Xenopus tropicalis: one gene and its partners. The protein of the gene in region 2 purifies or fractionates together with the protein of the main gene of each other region. This does not show direct contact. Links are inferred from orthologs where the notes say so. Each region holds a gene or a part of one and is shown on either strand. Other genes may lie near its edges.

Evidence for each region.
Region 1: the proteins of fbxo10 (region 2) and retinal rod rhodopsin-sensitive cGMP 3',5'-cyclic phosphodiesterase subunit delta purify together in Homo sapiens (affinity purification with mass spectrometry; 3 studies listed by BioGRID and IntAct, with this or other methods). This does not show direct contact. The link is inferred for Xenopus tropicalis from reciprocal best matches to the Homo sapiens genes FBXO10 and PDE6D.
Region 3: the proteins of fbxo10 (region 2) and acsl4 purify together in Homo sapiens (affinity purification with western blotting; 3 studies listed by BioGRID, with this or other methods). This does not show direct contact. The link is inferred for Xenopus tropicalis from reciprocal best matches to the Homo sapiens genes FBXO10 and ACSL4.

Annotation. Positions count from the first base shown.
Region 1 is NC_030681.2:101,158,330-101,161,983, forward strand, and holds part of retinal rod rhodopsin-sensitive cGMP 3',5'-cyclic phosphodiesterase subunit delta, read right to left. Parts: intron 2,197-3,654; coding exon 2,108-2,196; intron 845-2,107; coding exon 719-844; intron 1-718. UniProt on the Homo sapiens protein: Promotes the release of prenylated target proteins from cellular membranes. Modulates the activity of prenylated or palmitoylated Ras family members by regulating their subcellular location.
Region 2 is NC_030677.2:109,017,611-109,021,821, reverse strand, and holds the start of fbxo10 (F-box only protein 10), read right to left. Parts: upstream 2,900-4,211; 5' UTR 2,160-2,899; intron 1-2,159. UniProt on the Homo sapiens protein: Substrate-recognition component of the SCF (SKP1-CUL1-F-box protein)-type E3 ubiquitin ligase complex. Mediates the ubiquitination and degradation of BCL2, an antiapoptotic protein, thereby playing a role in apoptosis by controlling the stability of BCL2.
Region 3 is NC_030684.2:51,167,202-51,170,855, reverse strand, and holds part of acsl4 (long-chain-fatty-acid--CoA ligase 4), read left to right. Parts: intron 1-595; coding exon 596-773; intron 774-2,840; coding exon 2,841-2,950; intron 2,951-3,080; coding exon 3,081-3,219; intron 3,220-3,654. UniProt on the Homo sapiens protein: Catalyzes the conversion of long-chain fatty acids to their active form acyl-CoA for both synthesis of cellular lipids, and degradation via beta-oxidation. Preferentially activates arachidonate and eicosapentaenoate as substrates.

The DNA of each region.
Region 1 (3,654 bases), on a different chromosome or scaffold from region 2:
TCCCAACAACTACATTTTGACATTTCCTTTGATTTTTGCATTGGCAGTTGAGACCCTTGCTCAGCTTATAAGACATGACCTACATATTTCAGGAGCTGGGAGAAGAATGAGGATATATGACCTCACTGCCAAGGCTTTTTGTATCAAGTAGTAGAGTCATTGCAGGTCCCTCTGCATTAACACACAATGCAAAGCCCATAGGTAAAATGGAGGATTTTTTTCTTTCAAAGCTAATTCCCTACAACAAAGCATATCTCTGACACACTACACACTGCCCCCTTCTTCATACTAAAAAAAGAGATGGGTACAACTAGAAGCCCCCTATAAAACACATAGCATCTAACATCCCAAATAAAGAATCGTTTTATAAAAACTATCAACCTTACTTCATACCACATACACATTAAGAAACATGGCTATTATGATTTTACAAGCTTGGAAACAATGTAGGGTAGAAAGGATCTCTCACCACGGTCTGTTCGCCTACTTGTGCAGGACATCCTTTATCATAATATTGTTTACTGCTGTACCAACTTACCATTTTCTTTCATATTTTTGGGGTTTACATCACCTTTAAGGTAAAAAGTACCACCATTTCCATGCTAAAGTTGTAGAAGTTCTGCAGCATGAGAGACTATCCTGAGCCTAGGTAAATGTACATATTAACATCTTCTGCCAATGACTAGATCTTGCCACTTATATTTAGAATTCTGCTTACCTTCTAGACATTGACCTTTGAAGTATACTTTCTGTTCAAGTCTGAACTTCTCCATCTGCTCCGCAGAAGAGAAATTTAGCTCCCTAGAAACAGCTTTACACTTTAAAATTTTCTTTGGTACTCGAGCTGCAAAAACAGAGAAGAACTTAAACAAACTATGTATTGTGATATAACCAAGTCCCTATCAAAATCACTGGGAAATAGCTTCTGAAGACTGGAAAGTGTTTTAAAGGAGAACCTTCTGCATTTTATGAGCTTTTACTAGCTCTTACATAAAAGGGTTGTTCACCTTTAACTTTTAGTATGATGCAAACAGTGATATTCTAAGGCAATTTGCAATTGGCCATCATTTGCTTTGTGGTTTTCCGCTATTCAGCTTTTTGTTTAGCAGCGCTCAGGTTTTGTAATTTCTGCAGCAGATTGCTATGGTTTTGTTTACCTTAGCAACCAGGCAGTGGATTAAAAAAAAAAGCCTGTAATACGAATAAGAGGTACAGAAGAGAAAGATTAGTAACAACAATAATAAAACTGTAAGCTCACAGAGCAATAGTGTCTTGCTGTTGGGGTCTGTGAACCCATTTGAAAGCTAAAAAAAAAAAAGACATAGAAGTGGAAGACAAACAATTTAGAATTTTTAAAACTATAAAAAAAGAAATAAGACCACCAACTGCAAAGTTGCTGGGAATATTCACAAAGGTGATCCACCCCTTTAAAGGAGAAGGAAAGGCAAAGTCACTTGGGGGTGCCAAAATGTTAGGCACCCCCAAGTGACTTTAATTGCTTACCTTGTACCCCGGGCTGGTGCCCCTGTTGGGAGAGAACAGCACCAGCCCGGGGTAGCTGTAGCGAGCGCTTCCTCCTTCCTACTCGCGCTGCTGCTGTTTGTCCCGGACAATCGCATGCGCAGTAGAGTGAAAAGCCGACTTCTCTGTTAAAGTTCAGCTTTTCACTCTACTGCGCATGAGCACGCAGCGATAAAGGAAGGAGGAAGCGCTGCAGCTACCCCGGGCTGGTGCTGTTCTCTCCGTACAGGGGCACCAGCCCGGGGTAAAAAACATATTCCTTTGAATACTTGAAACCCTGCTGCATTACTGTGAAGCTAAATGGAACAATGAAACAATACCTCTGTATCCACCAGGAATGGATCTACATGCCTGCTGTTACACGTTTGCTTGCATGTATCCATTATTAATTTACTAACGGCTATACCAATTCTCTGGTGACCTGTCAGTGTGTTAATGTTTTTGAGTGTTTCATAAAGAAATACTAATTCATATGCCTTTGAAATCTATGAAATATGCTGTCTATACCATTTGTTATTCCCTTGTATTTGAGTAGTATAACTGTTATGACACAATGAAACAACATTAACTGAGCATAATACATTACCTTCGTGTTCAACCCCTGGAACCGACAGGTCCTCTGTACCCTGCCACAAAATTTTCCCAGTTTCTGCATCTCGGAGATTCATCCAGTTCCTGATAATGTCATCATTAAGGAAATTCAAGTGAAATATAGAACACTCTTTTTATTGCTAAATCTGTTGAATGCACTGTAAAACTAAAACAGAGTACTAAAAAAACAAATCTGTTTTACAAATCTGTTCATTATCCTTTTCCTGTAGTTTTTGAGATATTAAACAGCCTAGAAGCTTGCTTCCTCTACCTTTTCCTTTCTAGCACTAGAGCTGAGTATTCTGAGTTTCTCGAATCGGTTTTTCAAGGTGGCCATACACTGGGCGATTTCAGCTGCTGATACCAGTCCTTTACAATGGTTCGCCAGCTTATCTGCCTGCGGAGCCCCTGACTGAACTGTACTGAAATTGGCCAGCTCTCAATCAGGCAGGTTTGATTTTTCCATTGAATCGGGGACTGCATAGGATCTGGATCAGTCCCCAAACTGATGGTGGTTATAGAGCTGGGCGGTATGACCAAAAATTTATATCACGGTATTTTTCAAAATTATATCGGTATCACGGTATTTGACGGTATATAAATAAAAAATAAATAATAAATAATAAATATTGGTGGGCCCCCCCCAACCAGATAATTTATATCTTCTATATTAGAGATACTTATATATAATTCACTCCCTGGATGTGCGTCCTGACAGGCAAGAAATCAGCCAGTCAGCACACATACAGAGCAGATTCCTGGATTAAAATGCATAGCGTTTTCATGTTCAAATCTGGATTCATTGTGGTTGTTAATTTAACTACATTTTTGTGAAATGAAAGTGCTATCAATGTCACTGTTCTGTACTGATCAGTGCAACAAATAACAGAACCAAAGATGGCTCGTAATTAAAACTTTAGGCAGAAAGTATGTTAAATACAATAGAGAAAAGTTGCATAAATTCACCACCAGGAGGCAATGTGCATAAATGAACTATTTATCAACCCAGCCTTCTATAACAAACACACCATCACTTAAGCCCTCCAGCGATGCGTCCTAGCGACGTCGCGTGCGCGCTGACGTCACGTACGCACGGGCGCAACCCGGATATAATTGGAGAAAAATAGCAGGAGGCGCGCATACCGGTATAGCGGTATGTTGAAAATTCATATAGTTTTTTTTTTAAAAAAACTGGTATACCGGTTAAACCGGTATACCGCCCAGCACTAGGTGGTTATGCCCACTGTTTGAATTCAATTTTTCGTCCCTAGAGCCAAACGGCCAAATTGGCCTAATATTGCCCACCCAAAGGCGGGCATATCGGGAGAAGATCTGCTCGCTTGGTGAGCTCACCAAACAAGAATCTTACAGTGTACCAATAAGTTATAATTAACGCAATTGCACTGAAACTTCTCAGTAAACTGGACACAACTGCAATGAATGTTTTCCAAGCCAGGTTGACTTAATTTCTGGCATTCAGCATAAGAGTCACATGTACACTCAATTCTTTAGACGCCAGGGCTCTGAGGAAACCTTGGACCC
Region 2 (4,211 bases):
CCATAATTTAGAGCTTTCTGTATAAAGTATCCCATAAATGTATTTGTCAATGTCTTTTTTCTTTACCCCTCTGTTAACTCTCATCTAGCATGTATGATCCTAATCCAGCTAGTCAGTATTTACAAATCAAATAATAGATCTTTTTTTTTTATTCCCTATTCCTACAAGGTCACTACCCTTAAATAAAGCATTTTGTATTAGTGGCAAGAATGCAGAGCTCTGCAGTTGTGTCCACATATACCATCTTATGACCTCTTTTTAGTCACAGGGATCAGCTCCCCAGGCATGCGCACTAGAGACAGATCATTCTAAGACTACAACAGGGGTCGACAATCACAGCAATGTAAGCAGCTTCCTAGTTATGCCAAATAGGAGATTATAAGTCCAGAAAGGAATTTAGTTATGTAAAGCCTAACTTCACCTACAAAAAAGTAAATAAATATGTTGCTCTCCAAAACACAATAATCTAGAATGTAAGAAAAAAATCTTTTAAACTGGGCACACAACAATGATGTGAGGAGGAGGCAGGAGGGAATTGTAGCAATGAGAGATATTATTCAGAAAGTAGTTCCTTGTAAAAATAGTTCAGCTTCCCTTGTCTGCTACAAATGATATTCTTATAGCCTACTCTTCAGAGATTAGGAACTCTGAAAAATAGTTCAGAACTGGTCCAGTATGAACCATTCATATAGGAACTGTAGTATTTTATAATTACTACTATTTTATTTATTATCCAGAATACTGAGACCTTTTTTTCAGGTTTTTCCATAATTTCAAGTCTACTAAAAAATTCAAACATTAAATAAGCCCAACAGGATTGTTATGCCACTAATATAGATTCGTACAGCTTAGTCATCAGCTAGTACAAGCTACATTACAGAGAAAGCATAAACAGAATTAGAATTATTTGCTTAAAATTGATCTTATTGGATATGGCCTTCCTGTAATTTCTTCCTGTAAGTTCATTGATAAGAGATCCCATACATGCACAATAACATGCATCCCAATGGTGTACATGTATAGGACCCATTATCCAGAATGCTCGGGACCAAGGGTATTAAGGATAAGGGGTCTTCCATAATTTGGATCTCCATACCTCTACTAAAAAATCAATTAATTAAGGATTATTTATATCTTAGTTGGAATCAATTACAAGGTACTGTTTTATTTCTACAGAGAAAAAGGAAATCCTTTTTAAAATTCTGAATTATTTGATTAAAATGGAGTCTATGGGAGACAGGCTTTCCGTAATTCGGAGCTTTCTGTATAACGGGTTTCCGGATAAGGGATCTCATACCTATACTAAAATATACAATTCAGACATGAATTCAAAATTTAGGAAGTACAACTGTGCATTTTCTGTTTTACCTATAATTCAGAATACTTACAACCTGGGTTTCTGGATAAGGGATATTTCCATAATATAGAGCACCATTCCTTAAGGCTACAAAGAAAATTTATATTTTAAAATAACCAATAGAAATGGTTTTCCATTAACATGGATTTATGCTAGCATAATTGACATTAAGCACAACATACTGTTGTCTTATTAGAAAGGATAAGCAAATCATTCATAAACAAAAAATAATTTGCTTTTGGTTAAAGTTGGTAACAGTTTTGTTGATACTAGATCAGCTTTGTGGATAACAGATCTCATACCTATGCAATTCCTTGTTTTACCAAAATACACAAATGCCAATTATTTTAGTACTGAGAACAGCAAATCCAGAGAAATGGGTTGTTATGTTTTTTACAAAAATATAATTCTACTCAAATGTGTAGCTCTGGAAATGAGAAATCAAGCAAACAGTGACAGAGATGTTAGATGAGATATACAGATAGAATGTACCTGTACAAACAAACCATTTCTGGCTATACTTCCTAGCGCCACAAAGTCACATACTGAGTGTTAGCTGTGGGTTTAATACCACAAGGTTGGTTGAAAGTCAGGGCAGTAAAGCAATAATGTGGTGTTGTGTATGCCAGGTTCTTGGCATAATAATCTATAATTACAATAATTGAATAAAGTAAGCTTGTAATAGCAAATACACACATATACCTAACACACAAACCTTTATCTATATGTATTATAAATATATGTATATTACAATTATAAATATATGTATAATAGCACTTTAACATCAACATAATGTACATACGTGATTATACCGCACGGTCCCACCACTTTCTTCATTTGCAGCTAGCATAAAAGTCTGACTTGCCAGAAGCACCTCAGTTCTGTATCAGTACATCCCACAACAATCCTGTCGCACAGTCAGAGCGCACAGGGATGCTCCGGCCGGATACCTCAGGGAGCATTACATGTGCAGGTGGGGAGCCAGCAGTCCGTCACTTGTGTGGCATCTGTACGTTCCTGTTTGCAGATCCCATCCCATCCCAATAGCCTACACGTTTGCTACACTGCCCACAGGAGAGGAAATCATTATACTTGCCAATGATAAGAAGAGAGGGGAATCTGTTGTGATGCACTAAGTTCCCCCCTAGCAGCTACAGGACACACACAGCCGGTGTTGGTACTGCAGCCTCACAGTTGCTGCTGCTGCTGCTGCCAATGCAAGTATCCTGTGTGCTCCCGGCTAGTGCATGGGCTGACCATAGAGTACTGGAGAAATAGGAATCGCTGAAGAGGCCCCTCCTGTGGTATCCAAAGAATATAGCAGCTATTCACCAGCCAGACGCCGGGGGAAAGAGAGAATCCTGTAAGGAGGAGTCTCTACATATTAGACAAGCTTGAAGTTGCTAGCGAGGCCCCATGAGGGCCTTTTGTTTGGCAGCCTGCAAGAGACAGCATGGTAAGGGAGATGAGGGAGGGAGGGAGAGCAGGGAGGGGAGGGCTGTGTGAGGGATGAGGGGAAGGGAACAATTGCATCCTGAAGGGGTGGGAAACTGGGAGGAGGAATGAAGGCTTAGCACTGATAAAAAGGGGGAGTGGAGGAGGGTCTGCAGTAGAAGGAGGAAAGCAAGAGAAACCAAGTGTATGTCAGGGACCAAGTAGCAGGAACAACAGAAACATCATCTAGGAAAGGTAAGATAAAAGTGTCCCAATCCCCTTTAGCACAGCCTTGAGTATATCCATAAATATTGTGCGCCGCTCTATTATTTCTCCATGGCCACATTTCAAGCAGCTACAACATGCCTCTCCCTTCGTCCTCCCTGCTTCAGCATCAGTGCATGTTTAGTTGACCATACCGGGGCAGGGCTGCTTTAAGGTACCAATGGGCCCAGGGCAGGAATTAGTGAGTCCGACATCCAAGTAACAGAACTATCATAAAGCAAGAGAATTTAAATGAATATTATAAGATAGGCTATAAAAAATAGTCTGAGAATCAGTCACGCTGGGCTGGAGGAAGCACAATCCTTCCATAGACTGGAGTACTGTTTTTACTTGTAGTAAGCCTATGGAAGGATCACGCTTCCCCCATCCCAGTGTGACTGAAACAACTACAGAAGAGCCTTTATCCTGTAAGTATCGCTAGGATGGGAGCAGCTTTGCTGTACTTTTGGCCAGGGGCAGCAGAAAATGTTTTTGGATGGGGGGCCAGGTGGGAAGGATTTGCGGCCCGAGTAACGCCCTTAAGACTCCACCCACTTTAAAGTGTGTTTTCACCAAATTTGTAGAAAACCAAACATTTGCCTAGTCTGGTAACCCAAGACAAAGCAATTGTAAGATTATAATTGCAGTTAGCCAACAGATGGCTGGTTGCTATGTATGGGTTATATGACCTCAGCAAACCTGGCACCATTTACTACATTTCTGCTTAAAAGTAGAAATTGATGGAACAAGGGAGCTATATACCAGGTAAATAAGTTTTAGTTTATTTACTTTTGATAAAGTTATAGATAAAGTTTTTATTTAAAGAGGGTGAGAATAGGCTAATGTTACACATACCGTGTGGAGCATGTTTTTGGCAAGCCAAAATCCGCTTGACGAGATTACGCTACATAGGATTAAAAATCCTCCTACCTGTGTCTGCACCTGAATGCATTGAATATAATCAGGTGCGGGCACATGTAGCCGATATCTGCCGAAAATGCAAAGTATTCTGGATATAGGCTACATGTACCTGCACCCGAGTGTATTCATTGCTGGTGCAGGCACAAGTAGGAGGATTTTAACCGTATGTGGCGTATTGTCAGCAAGCAGTTTTTGGCTTGTCGAAAATATGCCCATACGCTACATGTGGCATTAG
Region 3 (3,654 bases), on a different chromosome or scaffold from region 2:
GGACTAAGGGCTCACTTGCATGGAAGGGTTGCAGGCCCATAGTGTGTACCATTTAAAATGGTCTAGCTTCAGCTGTTGAACTGAGTTGCAGTAGATGGTTGTCTTTCGCCGAACACTCAGCTGCTTTATATGTCATTAGATTCAAGTTCTTCCTACATGATCCGCCCAGCCTGATTTTTATTTTTTTTCTTCAACAAGTTGGGCAAGCATTAGACTTCAAATTCCCATTAGTCCTTTTTCATTGTCATCTGTATTGAATTGCACATGGGTTCTCTGTTTCATGACCTAAAACGGCACAGTTTTTAGGTTATAGTGCAGCCAACTGTTATATTTTGGGGTATTATTCAGTAACTGTTTTGTATTTCACCTGAACCTGAAACTTCACAAGCTTCAGTTATTAAAAAAACAAATTTCTGGAGTTTGTAGCTTAAGACCCTCTGACAGAGGAAAATCCATTGATATTTCAGTAAGAATGTAAACACAACAATATACACTTTTTTAGAAATGGCAATGATATTGTAGACTTTCTTAGATGTGACCGTTTATTTTTGTAATGCATGACTTACCTGTATACTTATTGTCCTGTGTTTTGCAGCTAATTTTGGGAGAATACAAATGGCTTAGCTATGAAGAAGTAAGCTTAAGAGTGCACCATCTTGGGAGTGGCCTGTCTGCCTTAGGTTTGAAACCAAAGAGCACAATTGCAATATTTTGTGAGACCAGAGCAGAGTGGATGATTACTGCACAGGCATGCTTTAAATACAATTTTCCCTGTAAGTATTTTAAGTGTTTAACCTTTCACATTGTTCCAAGGAAAACCCTGAATCATTTCTCATCATACTTCTGTTAGTTTTGCAAGCTTTTCTGGCTGCTTAAAATAAAAGGTCTGCCCTTTTTCTGGGACATGCTCCATTTAAAAGCATGTATTGATAGCTTTCTCACTTGTGGGACAGCAATTTGAAGAAGACAAATATTTTTCCATAGGCGATCAACTTAGTAGCAAAAAGATAATGTTTGAATGAAGACTCTCCTAGAAAAGACCGGCCTGGCCTTTTGTTTTAATCAACTGTGAGATTTAAATATTTTACATAAGGTTTACTGCCCCTTTCTAAACTGGTGTATTGGTATATTATTATGTCATCATCATTCTTGATTCTTAACTAAACGGAGATGTTATCTGTCTCCACTTATTTACTCTTGTCAAAAGGATAGGCTAGTACTGGTTTTAGCAAGTGCAACAGAAACTGTAACGTGCAAGACAATCCTTCCCCTCCCTAAGTGCATGCATGAATGAATGACTGAATGCATAGCAGGCATGTTTGCGGTACAAAAGCCAAGCTGCTTTGCTAGAATATAACTTAAGAAGGCCATACACTATATGATTCTGTCATTTGCCAAGGTCACCAATTATAGTTGCATTAGCCTATCCGGCAAGTAGAAGAATTTGCACTGTTTTTAAGAAAATTGCCCCTATATGTAAAAAAAAAAAAGGCACAAAGTTTGCCCTGGTGCAGTAATCCACATCAACCAAGTTTGCTTCTTATACAGATAACAAGTAAATGCTACCTGGTGATTGCCATTAGTGACTTGACCTGTAGAAAACTTTGTGCATTTTGTTTACGTAACCCCTATAATGTACCATGATGGAGTAGAAAATATTATTGGATCCCACGTAAGGCATTACGTGATTCCATTTAGGGCCACCACTGCACACTTTCAGGGCCCCCAAAAGAACTACCTTGTGATATATTTATTTCTGTTACCTTATTGTCACATAAATGTTACATTTCTTAAAGAATGGAATGGTAGGAAATTGTATATATTCAGCTGTTCTTGAGGCTGGGCTGCTTGCAGTAATTCCACTCCCTCCTTATAGAGTGTCTAGACTTGTCTCCTCTTACTGTTGTGTGCCACTTTAGTTTTTCACTGGTTTTGCTAATACTGAAACATATATGGCTAAGGTATAGATGCGGAAGCCACAGTGTTATGAGCGTGCTAGTAAGGGAATAATGAGCAGATGTAATTTGTAGAGGTTGATGTGCCACGAGATGTCCCATATCTGATGTAATATTGGGTAAGTTTGCAGGCTTTACTGAAGAGGCATGTTTTAATGGAAGGGGAGTATCCAAAGTCACAGGGTAATGAATTCCAAGATTTTGCAATAGTTTTAGTGGGAGATGATTAATAAGTGGACTGGTATTCTGCTTGTTTTCTAACTCTGAAAGGAGCATATTTTTGAAATGCTTAAGATGTAGCTGGCATTTATAATTCCAATATTGCGAACCAGCGTGCCAGATTAAATGATTGTGTTGTTCACTATAACAGACAACACTTGGGGGTAGGGTATGTGTCACTGCTTTCCAGATTATTTGCACTGCCTGTGTCCTGTTACCCACTATAACATTTTGCTGACTAGCTAAGCCACAAAACTTGCAAACTTGTTTTATATAGAGGAAGCTAAAATTCCCTAGACTTCCCCATATTATTAACGTTCATTTGCAGATATGTATTTCCTGTATATCCCCAACATCACCCCTCCTGGTTCCTGACTGCCCTGCCCGGGCAAAAAACCATAGTATTTGTTTTTGACTGAGGCATTTGTACTGTAGAGCAGTATAATATCTCGGAATTTATTTTATCTACTGGGCCCACTGAAGTGTGGCCTTCCTCAGTGCCAGGCTGAAGCCCCAAGCAGCTGTATTGAAAATAGCAATTTGGAAGAGATGTCTGACATTTGAAGGATGTATTGTATAAAAGCTGTTAAGAGCCTGGCAAGCATTATCCTATTTTACATTACTTTAAATTTATTATTACATATAAATTGTTTTTAATCCTAACAGTGGTGACTTTGTACGCAACACTTGGAGAAGAAGCAGTAGCATATGGCTTAAATGAATCTGGAGCAAGCTATCTCTTTACCAGTGCTGAACTTCTAGAGACTAAGTTGAAGGTGTGTATAGATACTTCTGCATATTCCTTACAGTAAAACACCCAGGATAAGAAAACAAACAGAAACCCACCAATACATATTTTTACTTCCGTACCTGAAGCACTGTCTGTATTTTTCTTTGCATTTTCAGAGTGTTCTTTCACAAGTCACAGGCCTTAAGCATATCATTTATGTTGGCAAGAAAAACATAAGCAAAGCAGAATATCCTGCCAGCCTGGAGATCCATAACATAGAAGCAGTGGAGGAATTGGGAGCCAAACAAGAGAACTGTGAGTATGGCTCCATGCTGCCAAAAATATATTTTGTTTTTAAATCTTCACCTTTAATTGTACTTTAAAATCAGAAACATGTCTATATTACAAGTTACTAATCCAAGCTTTTTCTATCTCCAAGTTTTTGTTTTTTTTTGCTGTAGAGCTGATTGTCCCAGAATTTGAGTTTAGATTCTCCTTTACTATCTAGGAATTCGCCAGACAGCCTTGTGTTTCCACCATATTGCAATTAGTCATTGGGAGGTGATCAGCCACCCAGGAAGTAATAAGGGCCCTCTCCCTTCCATGTATTTTTATCCTGGTGCTTCTAATTGCAGTCATTGGGAAGCAACTGTGACGTTTTAATGGTGGTGATGATGATCAATACGCCTTGTGTACCTTAGTTGCATTTAAAGTGAATCTGACACTTTAATTACTTGAATGTGTGCTTTG